Linked DNA regions of Oreochromis niloticus. The protein of the gene in region 2 purifies or fractionates together with the protein of the main gene of each other region. This does not show direct contact. Links are inferred from orthologs where the notes say so. Each region holds a gene or a part of one and is shown on either strand. Other genes may lie near its edges.

The links.
Region 1: the proteins of sympk (region 2) and cytoplasmic polyadenylation element-binding protein 1 purify together in Homo sapiens (affinity purification with mass spectrometry; 3 studies listed by BioGRID and IntAct, counting the BioPlex papers as one, with this or other methods). This does not show direct contact. The link is inferred for Oreochromis niloticus from reciprocal best matches to the Homo sapiens genes SYMPK and CPEB1.
Region 3: the proteins of sympk (region 2) and cpsf1 fractionate together in Homo sapiens (co-fractionation; 5 studies listed by BioGRID and IntAct, with this or other methods). This does not show direct contact. The link is inferred for Oreochromis niloticus from reciprocal best matches to the Homo sapiens genes SYMPK and CPSF1.

What each region holds. Positions count from the first base shown.
Region 1 is NC_031965.2:10,752,667-10,760,772, reverse strand, and holds the start of cytoplasmic polyadenylation element-binding protein 1, read right to left. Parts: upstream 3,189-8,106; 5' UTR 3,042-3,188; coding exon 3,027-3,041; intron 2,804-3,026; coding exon 2,635-2,803; intron 937-2,634; exon of another isoform or gene 814-936; coding exon of another isoform or gene 783-813; intron 578-782; coding exon 356-577; intron 1-355. Other genes in the region: zinc finger protein 609, read left to right, coding at 5,815-6,052, 6,448-6,517, 6,956-6,965.
Region 2 is NC_031987.2:7,110,698-7,118,766, reverse strand, and holds the start of sympk (symplekin), read left to right. Parts: upstream 1-4,882; 5' UTR 4,883-5,067; intron 5,068-5,225; 5' UTR 5,226-5,264; coding exon 5,265-5,333; intron 5,334-5,675; coding exon 5,676-5,741; intron 5,742-7,308; coding exon 7,309-7,362; intron 7,363-7,450; coding exon 7,451-7,524; intron 7,525-7,618; coding exon 7,619-7,745; intron 7,746-7,852; coding exon 7,853-8,069. Other genes in the region: solute carrier family 35 member F5, read right to left, coding at 1-96, 383-517. UniProt on the Homo sapiens protein: Scaffold protein that functions as a component of a multimolecular complex involved in histone mRNA 3'-end processing. Specific component of the tight junction (TJ) plaque, but might not be an exclusively junctional component. May have a house-keeping rule.
Region 3 is NC_031985.2:31,557,041-31,564,832, reverse strand, and holds the start of cpsf1 (cleavage and polyadenylation specificity factor subunit 1), read left to right. Parts: upstream 1-4,592; 5' UTR 4,593-4,758; intron 4,759-5,204; 5' UTR 5,205-5,226; coding exon 5,227-5,370; intron 5,371-5,472; coding exon 5,473-5,500; intron 5,501-5,596; coding exon 5,597-5,730; intron 5,731-5,828; coding exon 5,829-5,909; intron 5,910-5,994; coding exon 5,995-6,146; intron 6,147-7,792. UniProt on the Homo sapiens protein: Component of the cleavage and polyadenylation specificity factor (CPSF) complex that plays a key role in pre-mRNA 3'-end formation, recognizing the AAUAAA signal sequence and interacting with poly(A) polymerase and other factors to bring about cleavage and poly(A) addition.

The DNA.
Region 1 (8,106 bases), on a different chromosome or scaffold from region 2:
GACTGACATCCCTGACTGAAGTTTGATCAACAGGTAACAAATATTTAACTTGACTCTCTATTTAACTTGGGAAAGAAAAGTAGCTTCACTGGCTGTTCGTGTGTTTGCTAGGGATGCAGTAAAGCAAAACTGCCACATCATCCTCCGTAGTGACGCTACAGGCTGTTCCCACACCGACTGCTGTTAATCAACCATCTTATTTTGATATTAATAAGATCTACACAATAAAAAACAACCTTACTATATCCATTCCAATTTTCTCTTCAAAAGTAAGAGCCAGAAAAAACTTTTGGGGAAACTGGTACCTCCAAAACAACAGAATGCTATAACACACAGTTAAAGGTCTGGCACTTACTGGAGGGTGAGCTGGTTTGAACGTGAGATGGGGAGGTGTGTGTATCTGCCTCCTGGCTGCTCCAAGGTTTGTCCCAGCCAGACAGACGGAGAGACTGAAGACCCAGGCCCAGGTCTGTGACACCCGACGGGTCCCTGGACAACGACATCTCCTGAGAGCCAGGCATGGCATCGCAGTTTGGGAAAAGCATCCTCCTGCTGCCCACTGCAGCCAGGTCCGACTCTGCCGAAATCCAGTTCACAGATTAAGCAAGAGCGAAAGGAGATAAGTGTTAGACAGCCATAAAGAACGTTTTCCAACCTCCCATCGGCATCATTATACAGAAAAGATCAAAGCAAGACTTGTCAAAACCCCTTTTGGTAAAGAAACCGCAATAAACTCCCTCAATAAACACATCTCCCCTACCCTGGCTGACGGCGGAGCTAACCTGCTGCCTCTGTGCCTGGTGCAACTGCCATGCATCTCCGTCCGCATCACTGACCCACCTAGCAGCATGTGACATGGCTGCTGATGCACTCGCACACCCCTGCTAATGACATCAGCTTCCCCCACCTCCCCGCTTCCTTGCCTAACAACTGTGTAATGAAAAATTCCTGTTGGAGCTATTGGCTTGTTGATAGAAGTACTCCCCTCTGGTAGGCACAGCACGTCTCCGAGTCAGTGTGAAGACAGCTGCTGCCGTTACTGCTGCTTACTCTGTGTCTAGCCTTGTTTCCCCGAGCAAGCTGACAGAGGCAGGAGGGAGGGGGGGGAGAGAGGGGCAGAGCTACAGAAGCATGGCGGGAGGCAGCATGGGAGCAAATGACTCAGCAGACTTCAACTAAAGTATTGTAGACTTGAGGATGCTCAAGGTATTTCAGTTTCAGACTGGCTTGTGAATTTATTTTAGCACACCAACACTGAACAAACGGGCAAGCAGTGTCTCGCTGTAGCTGAAGCAGCTGACTGATCAGATGTTGAGGACTGAGTGATTTGCACCACCAGCTCCTCCCTTCCCTCTCCAGGCCTGGAAAGCTTCCAGCTGCCAGTTACACCCCTGATTCAGCAAGACTAAGCTGGAGTGGATGGGACAGAGACCAAAGAAGAACTTCAGCTCACTGTGCATCAAGATCCAGCTTACCTTTGCTATGCAACATTTATGCTCTGCTCATGTCAAACTAAGGATTGTATTGTCATCTAAAAATAAGACCAGTAGTCACAAGAGCAGACATGCCTTAAGCAAACTAACTGAAAGAAAGGACTCCAGCACTGAGCTGAGCCAAAATCTTGGCAAATACCTCTCCTGTGGTTTAAAAAAAAAAAAAAGACACTTAGAACTACTGCAATGCTGCAGACCAGCAATGCAGTATGAATCAGCTGCTGGCACCTGAATAAAAAGACAAGGTGAAGGAGGTTCAACAGCTTTAAAAAAGTCAAAGGGGGATTTCCATTATAGGCAATGCAGCCTCTCATCTTACAGAGTACCACATTGGTTTTGCACACTGCATGCATGTTCCTTCATGGTTTTGTGGTTTTAAGGAAAATGCAAACCACAGCAGCAGGAGAAGCTCCCACCGAGGTTAGAGGTCATGTGACCTGCTTTCTAACACTTCACTGTACATGAAACTAAAAGCATCAAAATTCACACAACTGAGAAATACTGGGAGAGATTCAAGCACTTTGGGACTCAAATTGTTGAAGTATTGCTTATGTAATATCCCTCAATACTACTGTACCTGTATTACTAATATAGCCCAATCTTTAGGTTTACTGAAAGAAAATTCTGCTTGAATAGCTAAAACACTTCCTTTTCTAGGATTTGCACAAGGATTTCCTGCTTTGTTATAAATATCATCTCAGGCTGTTTCCTGGTCAAAAACTGCATTTAAGATGAAAACACTGGAAAGGAAACCCATTTGGGAAACTGTAGTCTACAAGATTAAAACATTTTTATCAGACAGTGAAAACAGCTGTTGATACCATCTGGGGCCCAAAATCAAGGCCTTCACGTTTCCCTGACTGCAAGTGACCACAATGAGCACATGATGTGTAGGCAAATAAAGTTAGCAGAAAATGCAGTTTGACTATTAGACCTTAATAAAAGTACTACAGACTTGCGCGGACTTTGCTACGTATTAAGCTATTTGAGCATTTCTAAAACCCTTGCAACCCTCATGGCTACAGCCTCGTTTTAAATAAGTTTAGGCTGCAGTAGTGTCGGATACTAATGGTTTCTCGCCTTTGCACTCAAGCCCACCAATGTTTAACTCTTGCAGAGTGAATGACGAGTGAGGGTTTACCGGACATCAGGTTTGGTTTTCCCTTGGTGTTGGGTGTGGTGCACACACCGGTGAAATCCAGAGCGTTGCCCAGCATAGTGTTCATCCTGCGGAAGATGTCTGCGTTGCTGCAGGTGGACAGTGCCGGAGAATCGGTGTCCGGGCTCTCAGGCCTGCGGGCTTCGTTTCTCTGCAGAAGGAGGCCGTGAGAGGGACACAATTAACCCAGCACTCATGCTAAAAGCTAAAGGTCAAGCTTGTGCACCATGCTGCAAAGTGAATTTTTGTTTGTTTGTTTGTTTTGTTCCGGGGAGGAACTAATGGGCCAAATGAGGCGGTATACGTTCAAATAATAACGTTAGACGTGGCGCAAAACTGACTAATTTCACCCATTTAATGCCGTTTCAACTCACCAGGGAAAACGCCATGATGTGGACAGACAGCCTAAAAGAAATGTCACAACAACGACCGCTGGCTGCAATAAAAGGTCATATTTATGAGGCGTGCTAACAGCTAATTACTCATAATTTAGTGAACGTGTGCCCAGCTAATGACAGTGCTCGAGGGCCTCAGTCCGTTCACGTGCTCCACATCAAAGAGGAGGCCGCTGAAGGGAAAATCACGTGTTACTGTGGCCAACAATTTAAAGAGAGGCTTATTTAAAAATTACAGGGATATTTATCAATATTATAGCAGACAGAATATGTTTTATACGTGCAAACGTGAATTATGTCATTAAAAATAAAATAAAATACGCCAACATATAAAACCACAGTGCTCTCAGTGATTGCTGCGATGGAATCACAGCATATAGGACAAAAATAAAATAATAATTAAAAAATAGTATAGTACTATAATTTCAGATGGATGTGAACTACATTTGTTCTTATAAATTAATGTAAGAATTGTTTGTTTGAACATAACTGAAATATGACTCTTCAGTTCAGAGGCATGCCTTTAAACTTTATTTATCAAGAAAGGCAAGACTTAAAAACAGTTGTGAAGACCTCTAATAATAACCTGACTACTAATAACTACTACAAAAACAAATAAAAACAATGAAATAATTATTAAAAATGTTCATAAAAACACGTTTATACAAATGTTAGACAATATAAAAACAATAACATTCCAGGGTTATTGGAGCTTTACTTTGAAAATATTCAAATTAATTGAAAGGAAACACCTTGTGTGTCTCATTGTTTTCTTAAAAACAGCTTCATATGCTTTATCATTGTGACCCAAGATTCATTAAAGCAGATCTTGTATTCTTTCCTCTGGTATTTTATATCGTGTCGTAATCGGCCTCCAAATGCGGCCTCGGGAGGATGCAGCCTATGAATCCGGACACCGTGACACACCACAAAAAAAAAAAAATTAAACTTGGAGCCGCAGCCTCCCACTCTTTTCCTTTGTATAAATATAACGAATTACCACTTAGGGACTATGCTGCTGTACTCCTATTTATGAGATGACCAACCTCTTGAACTTTGGTAGGGCATATGAACTGATAGCTTTAACATTAAATCACCTGCTTAATATTGTGCTGCAAAACAGCTCGGAGTCATCAGTGGAATTGACATGATATCTCTGGGGTTGTCTTTTGTTTTTTTCTAATCACAAAGGTCCTGTGGGTTGCCTCGGTAGACTGGAGTTGATCCCTGGGGTCTCGTGCAAGCTTGTTCAGCTTGAGATTTGAGATGTTTGGAAGCTGGGTCAGCACCTGGGTCTCCTTGCTGTGTTCCTTGTGTGGTAGATGCATTGTCCTGCTGGGGGAACCCCTGCTGGTGTTGCAATATTTAGGTGGGTGGTTAGTGTCCCCTTAAATTCCAAGACCTGAGGTTTTGTAGCAGAGCGTTTTATTAAAACAAGATGATTCATTTTATACGCTTTACCTGCCAGTGGTTTTAATGCTGTGGCTGGTGGGTTGTCAGTTCATTAAAGAAACTCTGGAGGAAGTCATTTGTTGGCATCTTGTCATTTTCAGTGAAGTGTTGCAGTGTTTATTGACACCTTTTTTCTTTTATAATTCTGGTTCCAGTGTTACATAAGTCTGTAAGAGGTTAAAAAGAGCTCATAATCAGACTCAAAGATTAGTGCAGACCATCACAAAACCCAGTCTGATCTGGAGCAGTTATGGGAATAAAGTGCACTTTCACTAACCTCCACCAGATTTCTGTAACCTTAACAACAACACAGCAACCTTGTACTCTGCACCTGCACGTTGATAATATCAGACATGAGCAAGATGCCAAAAACATTTACTAAAATTGTTCCAAGGTCTTTTGTTTCAGTGGCCCACAGTTGGGCTTTGCTCCTTTACCTCTCCTCAATTGTATCAAGGTCATTTGTAGGTAGCCAAAACTAAAGACAGAAAGAAAGAAAGAAAGAAAGAACATTCTAGTTAAGCTGCTTGTAATAACTTCTATGAACTTGTTAAACCTCTTCTGTGAAAAATACCCATTTTAAGTACAGAAGCTAATTAAAGTACAAGTAAAAGTTCATATGAAATCATAAGTTTGCCTCTGTACACTGTCAAAGTTGCTTTTAAATAAAACAAGATGCAACTGAAATTAAAAAAAATCAGCTTTTATTCAACATGTTCAGCAGAACTGTTCATAATTATTTACACGTATCCTTTTAGAGGCTTGATTTGTACAGTCGACTCACAAGTGGTTTCAAGGCTGTGTTACTGTTATTCTAATGACAAATGAAGTTCTTTTACAAATGCAAACTAAGAATAAAAAAACTGCACTGGCGAGAAAATTTGAAATGGGACCTTTTTCCCTCTTAAAACTAGTTGAATAGAGTTTTATTACCTGCCAGAGAACAGAGTACATTAACATTAAAAATATATGTATATTTCATCGCAAATATGATTAAAAAAAACACACGAAACAGGATCAACTTGTGAACGTGCAGGTTGTGGTTTATAAAGAGGCTTAGGTTATGATCCACTCTGTTGTGCAATGAACAGCAACTGTGTGTTTTTAGATTGAGGGATGCGACAAGTTTATATCGTACAACAATAAGAGAATAACAAAGAGTACACACAGCAGATGACCAAAATAGCATTGTAGGTGACCTGTGAAGGGATTCAAATTGTCCACTTAACTGACTCTGGTTGGCTTTTCTAATAAAATATGCTTTCTGAGACTGTAATCACAGACAAGGAACCACTACTTACTTGCACTTGGATGGATGATATACAGTCAGGTCCATAAATATTGGGACATTGACACAATTCTAACATTTTTGGCTCTATACACCTGTCGCCAGTACAAAAGCAAGTCGCCGTCCATCCAGGACAGCAAGACACATGACCGAGAGTGGGAGAGAGAAAGGGAGGGCGACCGGCCACGCTCCTCGCCCTCGCAGCACATCATGCAGTCCCATCACCACCTGGGATACCCTCTGTACGACCTGTCCTACCCCTCAGGTGAGCCTCGCCTGCTGCCTTTAGATCCTCTTCAGCTCAGGTGTTCTCAGACTGGAGGACAACCTGCTCAGAGTTTAGTGACCACCCACACAGCCATGGCACACAGCTATGGTGATGTCATACATAGACCTGTTTCAGGTATAAATGCAGGTAGATGATGTCGGCCCTGCAGTGTGTTCATACACTCGCTGAAAGCGTTTGTAGAAGAGGAGGACGGGGTAATACCTGGTGCTGAAGGTTACCCCAAACCAAGCTGACCTCTCCTCCCATGATTCATAGCTCGAAAGGGATCCTCTGAGCCCGCCCACTTCACCCCACTGAGCCTGCAGCTGCTTTTAATGAGTGGCGTGTGCGAATCTGCCTGTTTCAGTTCTGACATCTGGTCTTTGTTTCAGGCCTCTCATCCTCCTCCATCGTCGCCAGTCAGCAAGCGTCCGCCCCGTCCTTGTACCCGCCCGCACGGAGGTGAGAACGGTAAGACACACACACACACACACACACACACACACACACACACACACACACAGGAAGTGTTTTAGTTTTTTGTTTTTGCTCTTTCTTGCTACTTTTTTTTTAAACACACCAAAAACTCACAATTAATAAAAAGCAGTTATGCGTGAGTAATGCGCAGGTGCTCATCACATCCGTGAACATGCTTGGACTTCTGTGCTGCTCCTCTCCACCTGTACTTAAATTCACCTGCCCTACTTCAGGTGTCTCAGTGCAGCAGCTTCACCTACTGGTCAGATCAGTGAATCTCAGTGTAAAAAAACAGAGTGTTACTGAACAGGACATGAGCCTCCTCCTCCTCCTCCTCCTCCTCACCTTCTTCTTCTTTGTTTTAATTTCAAACCATTCCCTGGTAAAATCTACTGACCCGTGATCTCCTCTCACTTTCTACAGGCACACCTGATTGGTCAGCCTCTACGCCTCTCCGAGTAATGTGACTGGATCACGTGAAGAAGCATTTCTGTTTCTGTGACATCAGTTCAGTGGTGTTCTGTGTATGTTTGATATGTGTGCCTGGACGTCCAGCCAACTGCTCCGACCCTCGCTGGACCGGATCCTGGTCCCTTTGGGTTTTGCTGGTTCTGGGCGGTCCCGTTGGCCAACAGGTGCTGCTGGGATGCAGGTGGGCAGAGCTCACAGTGACGTACCTGCAGGGACGACTGGGTGACCTCTGACCTCTTTCAGAAGGATGGGCTCAGCTCCGGATGACATCACACCGTTACCTGGATGCGTCTCAGCTTCACGTGAAATAAAGAGAACACTGGATGGAGGAGGGCCGGCCAATCAGAGGGCAGTATTCAGTATGCTTCCTTGTACTGACTGAGTGACAGGCTCCTCCTCCTCAGTGTGTAGCTGTAAACGTGCTCTGTGTGTGTGTGTGTGTGTGTGTGTGTGTGTGTGTGTGTGTAAATATTGTACAGAGGAATTATTTTAAAGAGCCTGTTGGATGATGTTGGATTTCCTACTCTTCTTTTTGTCTGGTAGTCTCTGCCTCTGTTTTTCTACTGTTGTTGATCTGATATTAAACCTGTAGCTGGTGGAGCAGCGCTCGAGCTCAGTGTCCTCATTTATTTCCTGAAAACACCAGAGAGAAGCTGATGTTGTGAAACGTCTTCAGGTCCTGGAATGATGGGAGGCAGGAGGGATTCGTTCAGATTAAAGGGTTCTTTCAAAACAAAAAGCTTGCAGGTTCTGGTTTCATTGTGTAGAATAAAATATTTCCTGGTTTAAAAACTTAAAACAAATGGAGAAATGTGCTTATGGATGTGGATCCATATATTATTCACTTTATTCAGTAATATGTGGCCTCGTTAATAAAGAACTGACCTGCCTAATGTACTGCAAAGCACATGCACATATATTTCAGGATCACTGTAACCTCAGTGGCTTTAAATAAACTTTATTTTGGAGTTTCATATTTTGATTTTGATTTTTCTAGCCATTCACATTTATTTAATGTGATAAATTAAGTTTTGGGCATGTGTGGCACTATGATATAGATGAATACATGGAAGTGCAGCCTCCCATTTTATTTTTATGCTTCA
Region 2 (8,069 bases):
CCACAGCAGGAAACCCAGCAGGTACAGCACAAACATGGATGTCTTGGCAAAGGTGCTGAAGAAGGGCTTGTTGTAGTCCTGTCGCTTGAAAATGTACTGCAGGAGGAGTTGTTTCAAAAACTTCATTTCAAAGGTTGAAACTCACAGTTTAAATATATTTAACTGCAGTTTTTCCTTATGAGATGTGAAGGAAGAGCATCACGATCAGGTAAAGTTAGTCCAGCACTATCTGCTGTATCTGCGCTTCGTTTTAAAGTGGGCCTATTCTGCTTTATCTTTTTCTGCTTTCTGTGGTGGATGGGTCACATTAAACATGGTCACCGTTTTATTAAGCCTTTTCAGTGTTTGGCTCCAACATCACAAGCGTGGAGATCAGACTTACCGAGGTCAGCTCGGAGGAGGCAACCCAGATGACATCCACCAGCAGGAGTATCACCACCCCCAGAGCCATCCGTCTCCGCTGGGCTGCAGAGCTACCCTGAGAGCTCATCCGGTTCATGATGAACACCCACTCCATCGGGACGGTGAGAGGGGAAATTCAGAAACTGCCTCGCTGATGACGACATCAGAAGACAGGCAGTGAGCTCCGAGGTTGACCAACTATATACTTCCCAACTATTTACCTTAGTTTTTTTTCGGCTTCAAAGCTGATGAACCTGTTCTAAACCCGTTTTAAAAGCTGCTATTCAACATTTTAATCACTAAAAACATCTAAAAAGTTATGAAACCACACCAAGAAATACTTCACTCTATCAACCAAAACCTGAATTTTGAACATGGCTAATCTAGTGTGGAGGTTTTTAATCTGGAAGTGGAAGTTAGACAGACAATGCAAGACATAAATAAACCTTCAGAAAACTTTCGTCCAAACAATAAGTGTGTTAGTGTCTGTAAGTTTGCCTGCAGTCAAATGTTTAAAGGAGTAATGTTATATTTTTACCACTTCAACACCCACCTGGTCGCCGCCAATACGTAAACTGAATTTTAGCCAGTCTCTTTGAAGGTCAGCTCAGATTCTTTGTTTCAGCCAGTTTAAGTTGAGACTCGCAGTTAAACACCTGCAAAAAAAATAAAAAATAAAAAAAAATTAAAAAAAATTAGAAGCCAGGAGAGTTACTCTACTGTGCTGTTTTTTAAAAGTATATCTACACCGAATGACAAATTAAAGGAAAAACAACAAATGTCCATGAGTACACATTTAACTCTATCCCCTATATTTGATGACCTCTGTTCCCTTAATGATGAGTTTGACAAGTGAGTGTATTTAAATAAAGACGAGGTTTGACGACCATCAGAATAGTTTGTGTAGCTGCACAGGCAGAGACCAGCCTCACTAACTTTTGATTCAAACCCAGTTATTTTGTTCTGTAAGCAAGTCTGAAATATGACACAAACCAATCAGTTCAGAAAAGAGCTTTAAGGGTTGCTTCTAGTCAACTTTCAAAGGGTAAAGAGTTAAACGCTGCACAGAGAGCAGACCATGGATCTGTGTGAAGAAAAGGAAAATATAAACCTGAGGCTACAGTCCCACGCACTCTGACACAAATCCTCTTCCTGATGAGGATGTGAGCGTTGCGTTAACCAGCCCAAAGAACACCTCACAGAAAAATGCTGCGGTGGAAATAAAGGCTGCAGATCTGAATGCTCATCGCTGCCTCTGTTAACTCCAGAACACTGAGCTTTGGGTGTTTGTGAGGGGTCTGCAGACACTGAGCTTTAACAATTCACTACTGTCTTTGTGCTAACATGCAGTCATCTTACTTTACAGTAATCATGTCAAAATTAAAATGCTTAACTTTTTTCTAATTTAAAGACTTTGTGAAATATCATTATTCTTAGTTTATATTATTTACTTATTGTTCCATATGTGGGTTACTGAGTGGTGGTGTGGGGAAACAAATCATACGACAGACAAATACCAGCCGACTACCCACTTTTAAAATGAGGGATAACAAATACAAATTAAGAGAAAATTAAATTTTTGAAAAATATGAAATGTTGCGGTGTATCCGTTAAACTTTGGAGTTAAACTGTGGAAGTGTTGTCCAGCAGACTGTAACTTAAATACTTAGAGTTCACCTGCAGCTGTATGTGACATGAAAGCTTTACTTTCATGCTTTACTTTTCAAGCTTTACTTTTCATTACTTCTTTGATTGTTTTTGTTGTTGCTGTGAGTGTGTTTTAGTCTGAGGTTAGAGATGTAGTTGATCTAAGTTTACTTATTTGTTGTCTCTGAAACTCTCTTTTTAACCTACCACGTAACCCGAGGTGCACCTTCTTAGAAACGCAACTACACATCAGGTCAATGCAGTACACAACTACTGTGATCGGCCTGTCCAGAGCCATTGATTACTCTTGTGCATTTCCAGCCACTTAACAATCATTGTCTCAATATAAAGACTAATAATCATAGTATCAATATAAGGACTCGCAAATCTCAGCAAATTCCTGGAGGGAGACTGCTCAATCTACTGGAAGATATCAGGGAATGTTCAAAGAGTTGGAAAAACTTGAAGGACATATATTTAGCCTGAAGAAAAAAAAAAAGAAAAAAAAAAAACCTGTCCACAACAAAGAGCTGGACCCAGAAAAGAAAAAGATCCCAGCATTTTGTTTGTTCCTATCGACCAGCAGGACATGTACAACACCAGGACACGACCACATGGTAATTAACACGTAATCCACTGGTACAAGCACAAATGCCGACAATGACGTTGGCCAATTACACAGGTTACATCATAGGTGCTACAAACACTCCCTGCAGATATCTAACTCAAGCCTTACTAGCAACACTTTTTCTGATCTAACTACTAATTTTGACCTCAGAGTTATTTTCTTTCACATATTCTATTCTTTTTACTGAGCAACTCTACTTTGATTAACCTGAAGTGATCAAATTGAAGGAAACTTGACTTAAGTTTCTGAAGACACTTTAAGTCTCATCTGAGAGGCAACTTAAGTTCAGAGAGCTGAGAGGAAGGCCTGTGTATTTACCCACTAGAGGGGCTGTCACCTTGGAGGACGTTGTTGACCCATCCTGACTTTATGAGACTCATTAGGTCACACTGGACAAGTTGTGAATGAAGAATCTCTTGCTTTAAAGGTAGCTGGTGGACAGGCCACCAACGCTACTTTGTGATGGTCTCCTTTACTGAACAGATAGATTTAAGATTACTGAGAACCTACACAGACTTTGTTTAATATTCTACCTGTTGTTGTCCACCATATGTGAATTTCACCACATATAGGATCAATAAAATCCACCCTGTGTTGAAACGAGGCGAACCATATGTTATAACAGAACTTTTTACTGCCATCGAAACACCAAACGGAGGGATAGATTTCGGTAAAATGGTGCTCGTGGCTCCATTTTCAGATAGTAGGAGACTATTTGTAAATACAATTTGTTCTGCTTGGTTTTAAACTGTCAAAAGGCATGTCCCGAACTTAAAAAACACACTTCAGAAAACTTTTAAACGACTACTAATGAAAGACATGCGTACACCTTCACTTACCCGAGCTTTAAATCCAACTATCTTCCAGCTAGCTACGCGCAGTACATCCAGAGAGCGTTGCAGTAACTCTTTAAGGTACGAACAGGTAAGCTGCTGAAAACACGACCTCCTCAAAGCTAGGCACTCACGGCTTTTAAGCTAGCTAATTTATTACCTGTTAAATTCTGACAGTCTGGAGGTCGACAGGTGTCCCGACGCTTTACTTTATAACTTATCGTGACATCTACTCCAGTTCATTGCCCACAGCTCAGGCTGAAGTCCACTTACTCAGTGTACCGCCGTCGCAGGTGTGCTGCGTTTAGCTGCTTGTTTACCTATTAGCATTCTAAGCGCTAACTGGCTTGATTGAAAAATGAAAAAGAAACAATAGTAAAATAAGATATTTTTACCCGAATGTGAGAGTGCGTCATTTAGTTTGCGCCATTATTTAAGCATCATCCCATACGCTCCGGAAATCCTGACAAAAATCACAGTTTTTAGCGATAAAAGTGTCACCAGCCCAGCGGTTGTAAACATTAGCTCAGCCTCCTGTCAGGTGACATCACTTACAGTGCAAGGCATTCTGGGGTATGAAGTCTTAAGGGGGAAAATGTTTGTTTTTTCATTTATAAACTCATACATTTTCTTGGTGTTTTCACCTTTGAAAATGACTTTTTGGAAATTAAATTGAGCAAATTAATTCAATTTTACCTCAGGCTGTGGAGAACACATCATTTACAAACACAAATAAAGAATAGGAGCTTCAAAGACGTTTTGCTCATTTTCTTTGATTTTATATGGGTCAGTAATGTTTTAGTATTATCTGAAGTCTATTGAGTGATTCCCTTACAGTTTGTAATTTTTATCCATAAAAAGTAATTTGCTTTGTACTTTAATTTCATTATACTTTTGCTTTTATCACAATATTGTTACTAGTTAATATTTTAAAAGCAATATTTTAATTAGTTTTTAGCTGATTTGGACTACAAAGCTCTGGTGGTGCTCCGTAGTCTCTGCTGCTCAGCCACAGGTTACAAACGCGAGAAACCATTTGTGTCATTGCACTATACAAATACAATCATTATACATACTTCTTACTAATTTATACATACAGCTATATTATACTTAATATTGTCTTATTTATATTGAATTACGTTGTAAATATTTTTTTGTTTCTTGTTTGTGTTTCTTGTTTGTGTTCTCATTCTTGTTGGCTTTTAATTCCGATTCATCTCATCTGTGTAAATGTGTCGTAAATGAAAATCCTTGAATCCTTGAATCCTTGAATCTTTGAGTCCTTCAATGCAAATTTTATCTGAACAGCAGGTTTCTGTTGTTGTTGTAGTGGCGCAGATGTCTCCTTTAGTGGCCGCTGTTATTTCTGCTCGTGCTTATTCACAACAGTCGAAGAAGAAGTTTGACGCCGCTTCTTTCGGTCAAACATGGCTGCGTCCATTATGAGCTAGAAGAGTTTTAGTGCTTTAGTTTAAGACGCCTCCTGCGATTATAAGTTCTTGACACTCGGGATATTTAATTGTTGTTGGAAGAACAAATTAAAGACAGGGTTAAACGGTAAGTAGCTTTTGCACATTTGTTTGCATAAAGGAGTTAAAGCAGCTCCCGCCGTTAGCACAAGGCTAACAGGAGCGTCTTATTAAAGGCTAATAAACAGCGTGTAGCACTCTGGTATAATAACACAGATAACATCCTTATTATTCGTGTGTTTACAGATCTTTGGAGCATGTTATCACCAGTGTGAGGGCCAAAACATGGACTTCTCTTCACAGGAGGGGGACTCTGAGGCCCCCGCTGTCATCGATATGACCACCAGCGAGAAGGTCCGTTTTTGTGATCGCTGATAAACATTTTAGGGGAAGATTTATGGGTTTTATGCTTTAAAAACTGGATGAAATCACAATAGTTGGGATTATAAAAATGGCGACCATTTTCAACGGCAATAGACCACTTTTTTGCCAGAAAAGCTTTTTACAAAAACGGCTTTAAAAGTCTTACATTTACCTTGCTGAAACCTGCAGCAACAAGTACATATACAGTAGGTTTGTCCTAGTGTTGAGCAGCCAGATGAGCCACAAATACCAACATATTAAATTAGAAAATCTCTCAGCTGTGCCTTTATTAAATCAACTGTAATGTAATGGGGGTCTGCTTTCTCCTTCCAGGTTGTGGAGCTCCTGAATCAGGCTGCTCTGATACCCACAGATGAGAAGCTGAATGTGCTCAAACAGGTTTGTAGCTTAGACTTTTTAACTCTGTGATACAAAAGACTGAGCACAACCCTAACCACAGGCTGTGGAGAAAGGTGGAGAATCGAAAGATGCTCAGATTGTCACTGGGAGTGACCAGAAAGGACAAGGTTAGAAATGAGTTCGTCAGAGAGAGGGACAGCTCAGGTTAATCAGTTTGGAGACAAATAGAAGCAAGGCTGAAATGATTTGGACATTTGCAGAGGAACAATAGTGGATATACAGGACAAAAGATGTTGAAGATGGAGCTGCCAGGCAGGAGAAAAAATGCCAAATAGCATAAGTAAAATAAAATAAGATAAAATAAATAAAATAAAATAAAACATGTTAAAACAAATTGAGTCAACCCCTTAAAGATTGCCAAAAGCTTCAGCAAATAAATGTGTTTTAAGAAGAGTTTTAAACTCAGAAAGAGAAGAGGCCTGCCCAACGTGCAAGGGCAGATCCTTCCACAACTTTGCAGCCGCTACAGCAAAAGCACAATCACCTCTAAATTTATACTTAGTTTTTGGTACCTTAAGGAGGTGCTGATTGGCGGACCTAAGGGAATGGGCAGGTGTATATGGTTGTAGTAGCTCCAAGAGGTAGGAGGGGCCAGGCCATTAAGATATTTAGAAACAAATAAAAGAACTTTTAAAACGATCCTAAAAGGTACAGGTAAATGTACAGGTAGGATGTTGTAAAGAGATGTGACAGAGTAGGATGCAGGAATAGGATGAGCTGGAGGATCCCTAAAAGGTGCAGCTGAAGGCAGTTTGAGTTATTGTAGATGATGACTTGGACTTGCAGGCTTAAACAAACTTTTTACTGTCAGCATATCTTTTTGGATCTACCATCAAAAAGCTTTTTTTTAACCTACACGAGGCTGCTGGCAGAAAGTCACATGTGTGATATTTTTGCTAAACATATATGATTATAAACTCTAAAGTGGAGCCATTCTGGATTTCCTGATTTTCTGTCCCATACATGTTTTCCAGCAATGGATATTCATATTAAACATGTACAAAATTTCCACTAATGAGGTTGTGTATGTGCAGGTAATCCCTGTGAGCCAGAAGGCTTCAGACGGCTATAAACCAGGAGTGTCAAACTTGTTTTAGAGCCCAGTTTGTTTTTAAGAGTACCAGACCAGTAAAACTATTGTCCTGCAACCTACATGAAAAAAATGTTCCTGTTTATTTCACTGTAAACAAGTTTAACTATACACTACTAAGGTGCCAGAGCATGGTGTTGAAGTCTCACCCATATCTGCAGCTGAGATAGTCTATTTATGAGGGGCAGCCAATCAGAAGAAAACTGACTTAAAGGGGGAGGGGCTAAAACAACTTCAGCTTCAGAGAGAGGAGGAACTTAGGGGCTGCACAATGGATTGAGTATAAGACAAAAAAGGATTATTTTAACTGTGAATTGTGCAAAGCTAGTCTAGCCGAGTCCAATATAGAGTTGGAAATGATCAGAAGATCTCAGTGCAACCGTGTAGACTGGTGTCTAATCCACTTACCCAGGAATGCACAAGAACATTGATTCAGTACATGTATTTAACCTTCAGGTCCAGGAACTCATCATCAACAAGGATCCATCTCTTCTCGACAATTTTTTGGATGTAAGTAAGCAAGTATTCGGCTCTCATAACCAGCTATAGTTTCATTTAAATTTGCCTCATTTTTGTTACTTTTTTTTTTGTCCTGTAGGAGATAATCGCTTTCCAGACAGACAAGTCCATCGAAGTGAAAAAGTTTGTGATCGGCTTCATCGAGGAGGCATGGTGAGTTTTCAGACCTGCTGTTGTTTTGTTTGTTTGTTTTTTAAGTCAGGGTCAGCATTTGAGATTTTTTTACTGTTTTATTATCTGCTTTCAGTAAAAGAGACAACGAGCTCCTCCTCAGACTCATCGCCAACCTGAACATGTTGCTGAAGGATGAAAGTGTGAATGTGGTGAAGAAAGCCATCCTCACCCTCACCCAGCTGTACAAAGTCACACTTCAGGTACAAAGAGTCAGATATACCGGCTTCATTTCTACCTTTTCTTTCTTTATGCGATCCGTTTCTGTTCTTCACTTCGTCTTCACTTCCTTTATCTTTTCTCGTCTCAGTGGTTGGTGCGCTCCAAAGCTGTGTCAGAAATGCAGGAGGCGTGCTGGGATCTCGTCACGCAGATGAAAGGGGATGTTCTGGCCTTGCTGGACTCTGAGAACGACGGCGTTCGCACTCATGCCATCAAGTTTACCGAATCTTTAATCATCACTCTTTCACCGCGGACAGCTGACTCTGACGTCCCCAAGCGACAGGAAGGCGACATCAGTCTGGACA
Region 3 (7,792 bases), on a different chromosome or scaffold from region 2:
AATGATTAGCACACAAGTCAAAAATGTCATCAGCTATCTTATGCTATATCACACAACAGGCTATATGATTTTTCATATAACTTAATTAAAGGTGTTGCCGTAGCACAAATATTGTGTGAGGTCAGGTTCAGTGACGCCAATTAGCTGAGGTTAAGCCTAGCAAACAGCTATTGACCACAGGGACCTGTGTCAGCACACCAATAATTGAAGCTTTAACAGTATCCAAATGGACAGTTGTTATAAAAGGAGGGATTAGCTATAGAGCTTTTTAACACAGGAGTGTTAGAGATTTCTCTGCTTTTGAAGCCAGACTCATTTTTGGCCATTAGAGGAATGTTGGCTTCGGTTTTTAGCCCCTGAAGTTGTCTGTGAGGAATATTAGGTGTATTTGTAGTTAGCTCCTCTGTGTGTTTTCAGATTAGCACACAGTCAGAGGTATTATCATTGTGTACCTGCATGCACCATTCTTGAAGCCTGAAATAAACTATTAAAGCATAAAACAAAGTAAAGTGTGTAATAAAGAAAGACATTTTCATGTCAACAGCTGAGTGGGGAGACTTAGGGAAATGTATATAATTCTAACTACTTATTACGTCCACCAAGGTAAACAACATAGCTCGAAAACTTAAGAATGAATTCTGATAAAACTTTGTGGGGGTGTAGAGTGGGATCATGTTAGCAATCTGTTAAAATTAGGCTTATATCCACCAAGGTCTTTAAGGTCAACTTCATGATTTATTAGTCAGAAATAGACTAAAAGCCTTAAAACTTATAAGTTATTATTCTTATAAATGTGGTGTGTATTTTCAACATTGTCACTAGATAAATCCGAAGGTCAAAATGATAATAATGCTGTATAGAGCTATTTAAAACTATGGTTCTTATTGCTGCTGTTTATATTGACAGCATATGGACACGTAGGGAATGATATATGTGGGTACCTAAATATCACGTTACTTTGGACCTCTGACCTTATCTTCAAAGTCAAGAAAGCTCAAACATTTAAACAACAATCTCCTTACCTTTAAAGCTCTGCTTAAAATTGTACTGTTTTTATTTGTGGTACAATTTAAAAAGAACAAAGAAAACAATAAATATATACAAAATAAACTGTAAAATGCCGCCAAAGAGAGCGAGCTGCCTTGGTGGAGGTTTGCACTTCTTGTTAGTTTTTCCACTTGCATCAGTTTTGCAGCTCCCTGTTTATTTTATTAAATAATATGAGTCATTTAAAAAACTGAAATAATGCTTACTAAATAATTTGTTTAACAGAAGATGACTACTCCGTGCTATCAAACTTCCCCGAAGCAACCAAAGTGGATGAGGAATCTGATGAATTCCAGAACGTGGTGAAGCAATTCTACGAGACCATTCAGGAATATCACAGCAAAATCCGAATCATACAGGTGAAACGATGAGCTCTGTCTTTTTTGCAGCAGCTGACTGTGGCTTTAGTGATGACTACAATCATTTTTGTTTTGTTCGCAGGTTGAGAAGCTCATGAACAAGCTGTTGTACAATCAGTACAAGCTGAAGAAGGCCAGCGTACTGCAGCGTGCCACCTACCCGCAGATCGAGCGCATCCTGTACCACGGCACGAGCGAGAGCAGCGTCAAGGAGATATGCGTCCATGGCTTCAACAGAAGCTTCTGTGGAAAGAATGGTACGCTTTTCATGCTGGCTTTCTTTGTCTTGTTTACATCGGGTTTTGTCACATCTTCTGATGCTCTGTTTTTTTCCACGCAGCCACCGTCTACGGTCAGGGGGTCTATTTTGCTGTGAACTCGGCTCTATCTGTCCAGGATCAGTATTCCCCCCCAAACGCGGATGGATACAAGTTTATTTTTGTGTCCAAAGTTCTAACGGGAGACTACACCAAAGGTTGCCATTCGATGAAGACGGCCCCGCTGAAGGAGACGGGAGATATCCCCCTCAGATACGACAGCGTGACTGATAACATTACCAAGCCGTCGATGTTTGTCATTTTCAACGACACACAAGCTTTTCCAGAATATCTCATCACATGCCAGAGAATCCACCGCTGAGGAGAATGGATTAGACGCCGGCGATGACATTTGGAGAGAGCAGACTGCTGATGCTTTAATGTTTCTGCCTTCAGTTTAAAAAAGCGATTTTGGTTTATAAAGGGCTAAGGTGTAATGATTTGATCAGCCGTGATCAAACCGATGAAGTGCTTCTCTGTTGATCGTTTCCCCTCTTTGATTTCCTCACTACGTTGTAATGTCATTAAAAAGAATCAAGCGACTGAACCCAAGAAGCCAGTTTTCATTCAGTAACTTTAAACATGCCCTTTCAGCACATTTACAGCTCATTGTGCCGCGGCTTTACATAGACAGCACTTATTGCATGACATTTGACTTGTAATAGTCAATTTGGTACTCACTGGCATCACTCCCACACTCCAGTTAATATTAGCCTGTCTTTTCCTCTGTTAATGTCATTGTATTCCTATAAGTGGAAGACAACTTTTTGATTAGTAGCCTGCTGACAGTACTACATGCACTCCTGTCTGCCTGCTTCCATCAGTAAGAGGTTATTGTGAATGAGCCAGATCTGATAGTACAAGAATATGACCCCTATTTAGTTTTACGTTTCGGTTAAGTTATTTGAGTTTCTCCCTAAAGTTTTTTTTTTCTTTCTTTTGGCTATGCAAGAATAAAACTTAAGTGTGGTTAAAATAAGAACAAAAAAAGTAGAGGTGTGTAGTCCACTGCTCTTCACGTACAGGTGGGCGTGAGTTGAAAACACTTGAACACAAATTAAAGATAATTCTGTCTTGTTTTGAGTCTCGTGATCTCTGTTCTGTCTTAAAAATTTAAAGCCTTATATCCATCACAGCTGTTGCACACGTCACAGACTGTGTATTGTTGTTTTTCTGAACCAAAATGATCTGCGAGCTCCAGTATGTGTTGCACAACGTGATAGTTCTTGATTGTCTTCTCACTAGTTCTGCTGATCCTTGTTTAATGAAGTGAGCACAGACAGCCTGATTTTAATTACAGTGCCTTCATTTTTCCAAGTGCTCTCATCACAAGTCCATCCATTCATCCATTCTCTTCTGCTTATCCTTCTTATCTGATCACAAGTCTTGGATTTTAATTAAGTCCTGGAAAGTTTGGGCCTTGGGTTTTTGCTGTGTTTAATTTAGATTGTCTTACAGTTACTACAAAAGTCTTTTGTTTTTAGCATCATGTTTGTTGTTTTTAATGAAGAATATTTCGTTTTAAGAGAGCTCCACTTCATTTATACGAAAAATAAAACTTTAAATGAGAAACCGTTTGATGGTCGTTTTACCCTATTTGTAGATCTTAGACCACTGTTGACCTATAACAAACACATCTGTAGTATCTGCACACATGTTGTCCAGTATGTGCTGATCTTATAACTTTACATGAAACATGAATGAAAAAGATGCTAAATGTATTTTGGAGATGGGTGTCGTAGCACACCTGTAACAGCAGTTCTGTAACAGCACAGCTGAGGATAAAGTTGGGTGGAGTCTGGCGATATTTATAAAAAAAAAAAAAAAGTTGCTTAAATGAGTGTTTACAGTATAATTCAAATCATTGAATTTAGGTCTTCCATGGCCACAGGTGTATAAAATCAAGCACCTAGACATGCACACTGCTTTGATTTGTGAAGGAATGGGTCCATTTCAGGAGCTCAGTGAATACCAGCATGGTACCGTCATAGGATGCCACCTGTGCAACCAGTCCAGTCTTGATATTTTCTCACTACTAAATATTCCACGGTTAGCTGTTAGTGGTATTAAAGCAAAGTGGAAGCGATTGGAAATGACAGTAGTTCAGCCTAAACTCAGCAACTTATAAACCCCGTGAAAAGCCTTCCCAGAAGACTTGAAGCTCTTATAGCTGCAAATTGTGGGCAGACCGATCATATTAAACTCTATGGATTAAGGGATACCACTCAAGTTCATGTGTTTGTAAAGGTAGACAAGCGAATACTTTTGGTAATATTTATTTTTATTTATTTATATATTTCCCTTTGTTTCCTTATATATTTTCTCATTAAGGTTTCAGCACACAATATCAACAAATCCTCATTATGTGATGTACCTCTAACACATGTGGGATCTACACATTCATCCACAAAACCTATTTTAACAAATGACTCACTTGGCGCACTCTGCTGGGATAAACCTGGCTTAATAAGTAAGAAATGTTTTCGAAGCTGTCTTTCACTGACAAGTGTGCACAAATGCTGTACACAAAATTGAGTAAGATAAATATGGAAAATTAAATGCCATTAAAATCTCATTAAAAAAAAATCAAATACAGAACACATTACAATCAGTAAAAGAATCAACAAAAAGCCTGATTAAACAAAAAAGATTTTAGCTATTTTTAAAGAGTCCACAGAGTCAGCTAAATAAATGTAATTGTAGTGGGACATTGTTACAAAGCCTTGGCGCCACAGACTGATAAGCTCTGCCCCCCTTTCACTTCATTTTTTTAAATATCTGTACACACACAAAATAACTCTGAGACAGCAGCTGCTATCAAAATGCTAAATATAGGTGGCGCTAATGTGCCTTGGAGTGGTTGGCTAAAAAAAAAAAAAAACACGAAGAAGAAGACCAACGCAGCCACAACAACGACAGCTAACCTTGCTATCGGTTAGCTAGCTTAAGTTGGTATCACACAAAATATGTCACGCTCACTGTGAACAAGGGAGGAAACAATAAAGCTGCAAACTCAGATAACGTGACGGACATAGGTACGTCCACGCGTTACATTCACTGCTTGTGAAAACATTTGAAAAATTGTAGCCTGTTACTATGCCATGCCAGCTACAAATGGGAACGTTAGCGTGCTGCTAAGGCAGCTAACTTAACCGGCTTTTCCCATACATTTGCTATTCGAAGCTAACTAAAATGAAGCTGAGACTAACAACACGAGTGGATATCGCTGGTTAAGTTAAACCAGTTATCAGAATAAATTCTAATAATTGATACACACAGACAAAATGTAGCGCTGGCATAAGCTAGCTAGCATTTGATCGTTTTGAAGCCTATTTAAGTGTACACTGACGTAATTTATAAAACGGCGCTCGGATTGTCTGTGCAGTTTTTGTTTAACGCAGATACACGCATACCTGTGTACCGATTGTTTTAGTGGTGAGGTGATGTCAGAGGTCTTGACGTGAGTGTTTTCACCTGTTAGATGCTGAGGGCAGCCTGCCACCATGTATGCCGTGTACAGACAAGCCCACACACCGACCTCAGTGGAGTTTTCTGTCTACTGCAACTTTATATCCAGTAAGGAGAAGAACCTGGTCGTAGCTGGAACATCTCAACTGTTTGTTTACAGGATCATTCATGATGTGGAGGTAACTTTAAATCTAAGGTTCACCTGTTTTTTTGTGCCTTTTTTTTTTAAAACACAAGCATAAAAGGGCTTTTTGATATATGCCACATTTGTCCTATTTCAGAGTACTTCAAAGGCTGACAAGTCATCTGGTATGTCAAAGAAAGCATCTCATTCAAATACACATTCTACTGTTGGTAAAAAATGTTTTTGGTTTTTTTTGCTGAGTCTCGACTTTTCTTGCGCAGATTCCAAATCTCGTAAAGAGAAGCTGGAGCAGGTGGCTTCCTTTTCTCTCTTTGGGAACATCATGTCTATGGCTAGTGTACAACTTGTTGGAGCCAGCAGAGATGCACTCCTTTTGAGTTTCAAAGATGCAAAGGTATTATAGAGCAAGCAGTGTGCTGCTTAAATAAACCATGCTTTTAACCCCTAGAATTGTTTCTCAGTGACCCTTGCCTGTGTTTTGTCTCTCACCAGCTGTCTGTGGTAGAGTATGATCCTGGGACACATGACCTCAAGACACTGTCTCTTCATTACTTTGAGGAGCCAGAGCTCAGAGTATGTAGCAACAAAAATAAACCTGAGTTTATGTTCATGTGTAAAAGTGACTCAACTGTGAATATAACTGTTCTTGTATTTTCAGGATGGCTTTGTACAGAATGTACATATTCCCGTTGTGCGTGTAGATCCAGAGAATCGCTGTGCTGTAATGCTCGTTTATGGCACCAAACTCGTGGTGCTGCCATTCCGAAAGGACACGCTAACGGATGAACAAGAGAGCGGTGTTGGAGAAGGGTAAGTTATACATCTAATTATTAAAGTTGATTTGTTACGCTCAGTTCCAGCTCAGTTGTTTTGATTTTTTTTACTCTACTAGAGTAGCTTTGCATGATTCAGTTAAAAAAAGGGCACCTTCCTTTTAAGCTAACTTTCCTTATCAGCCTTTTAACTTTTCATTCACAGGTATAGCTTGTACTTAAGTTCATTATTCTAGACTGACTGCTAAATACAATGCATCTAGTACTATAACAGTATTCTTGTGCCTCTCAAAAAGCTTTTTTTCATAATAATATTTAAATAAAAAAGTCACCATTTATGTATTCTATGTTCATTACAGTGAAGTGAATTATTTAAAGCCTTTTTTGTTTTATGGCGTATAACTCCAATAAATCGAGTATCTGAAATCATTAGATTATTTGCTAAGATCAATCAAAAGACAGAAATGAAACTTCTGAGAAGCATGTCCATTTGTACACTCAGTGCATGGCCTTTATCACAAATTCCTGCATAAGTGCGGGGCAGCATAGAGGTGATCAAAGCCCAGGCTGCTTTCACATTGACCTTCAGCTTGCCTCCATTTTTAGTATTTCTCAACTGATAAAATCCATAAATTCTCCATGAAATTCAGTTTGGCTGAGCTTGCCAATTAAGGGCAGTAACTTTGTCTGCAAACTACTCAGCCAAAGGTTTGGCACTGTGGGTGGGTCCTACTGGAAAAGGATCAGCATCTCCATAAAGCTTGTCAGCAGGTGGAAAGTTGAAGTGCATTAAAATCTGCGGGTAGACAGTTACGTTGACACTGGACTTGATAAAACACAGCGGACCAACAGCCAAGAACACTGGCAGGTCACATGGCACCCCAAATTGTCACAACTGTGGAAATGTCACACTGGGCTTGACACACCTTGGATTCTGTGCCTCTGCACTCTTCCTCCTGACTCTAGAAGTTTGATTTCCAAATGAAAGGGAAATTTTACTTTCACCTGAGAAGAGGACAGTTGGACCAATGAGCAACAGTGCAGTTACTTACAACGTAACATGACTACAACTAACCACACATCAGGTGGACACAGCCCACAGTTACTGTGATTAGCTGTTCACGGCTGTCCATCCCTTCTTTGCAGTTTCAGCTACTTTCTCACAACTGTTAGCAAACATTGTACAAGAGTCAATAATCATAAATGAGTAAGATAAAACAAACTGTTAAAAATAACCATAAAAATCACAACATCAATATAAGGAGTCACAATCAGCAGATTCCTGGAGAGAAATTGTACAAAGAAGTGGAAAAACTTTAAGGACAAATATTTTTGCCTCTGGAAAAAAACTAAACTAACCACAACAGAGAGCGAAGACTTTGTATTTATTTCTATCATGACTGCACTGTAAATAAAACACCTGGACACGACCACATGATAATTAACAGTTAATGCACCAGCACGCAACCAGAAATAAGGGCAGAGACATCAGCCTCTTATGTTACGTAGTCAGCTCCTCAAACAGTGCAGAAGTCTAGCCCAGGTTAGCTGTTTCTAACGTCTTGGGTTCAGGAAGGCACTTGTGGCCCATTTCCTGAAGATGTCTGTGCGCAGCAGCTCTTGATGCTCTGACGCCAGCCTCAGGCCACTCCTCTCCCAAGTTCCTGAATCAGCTCATGACAG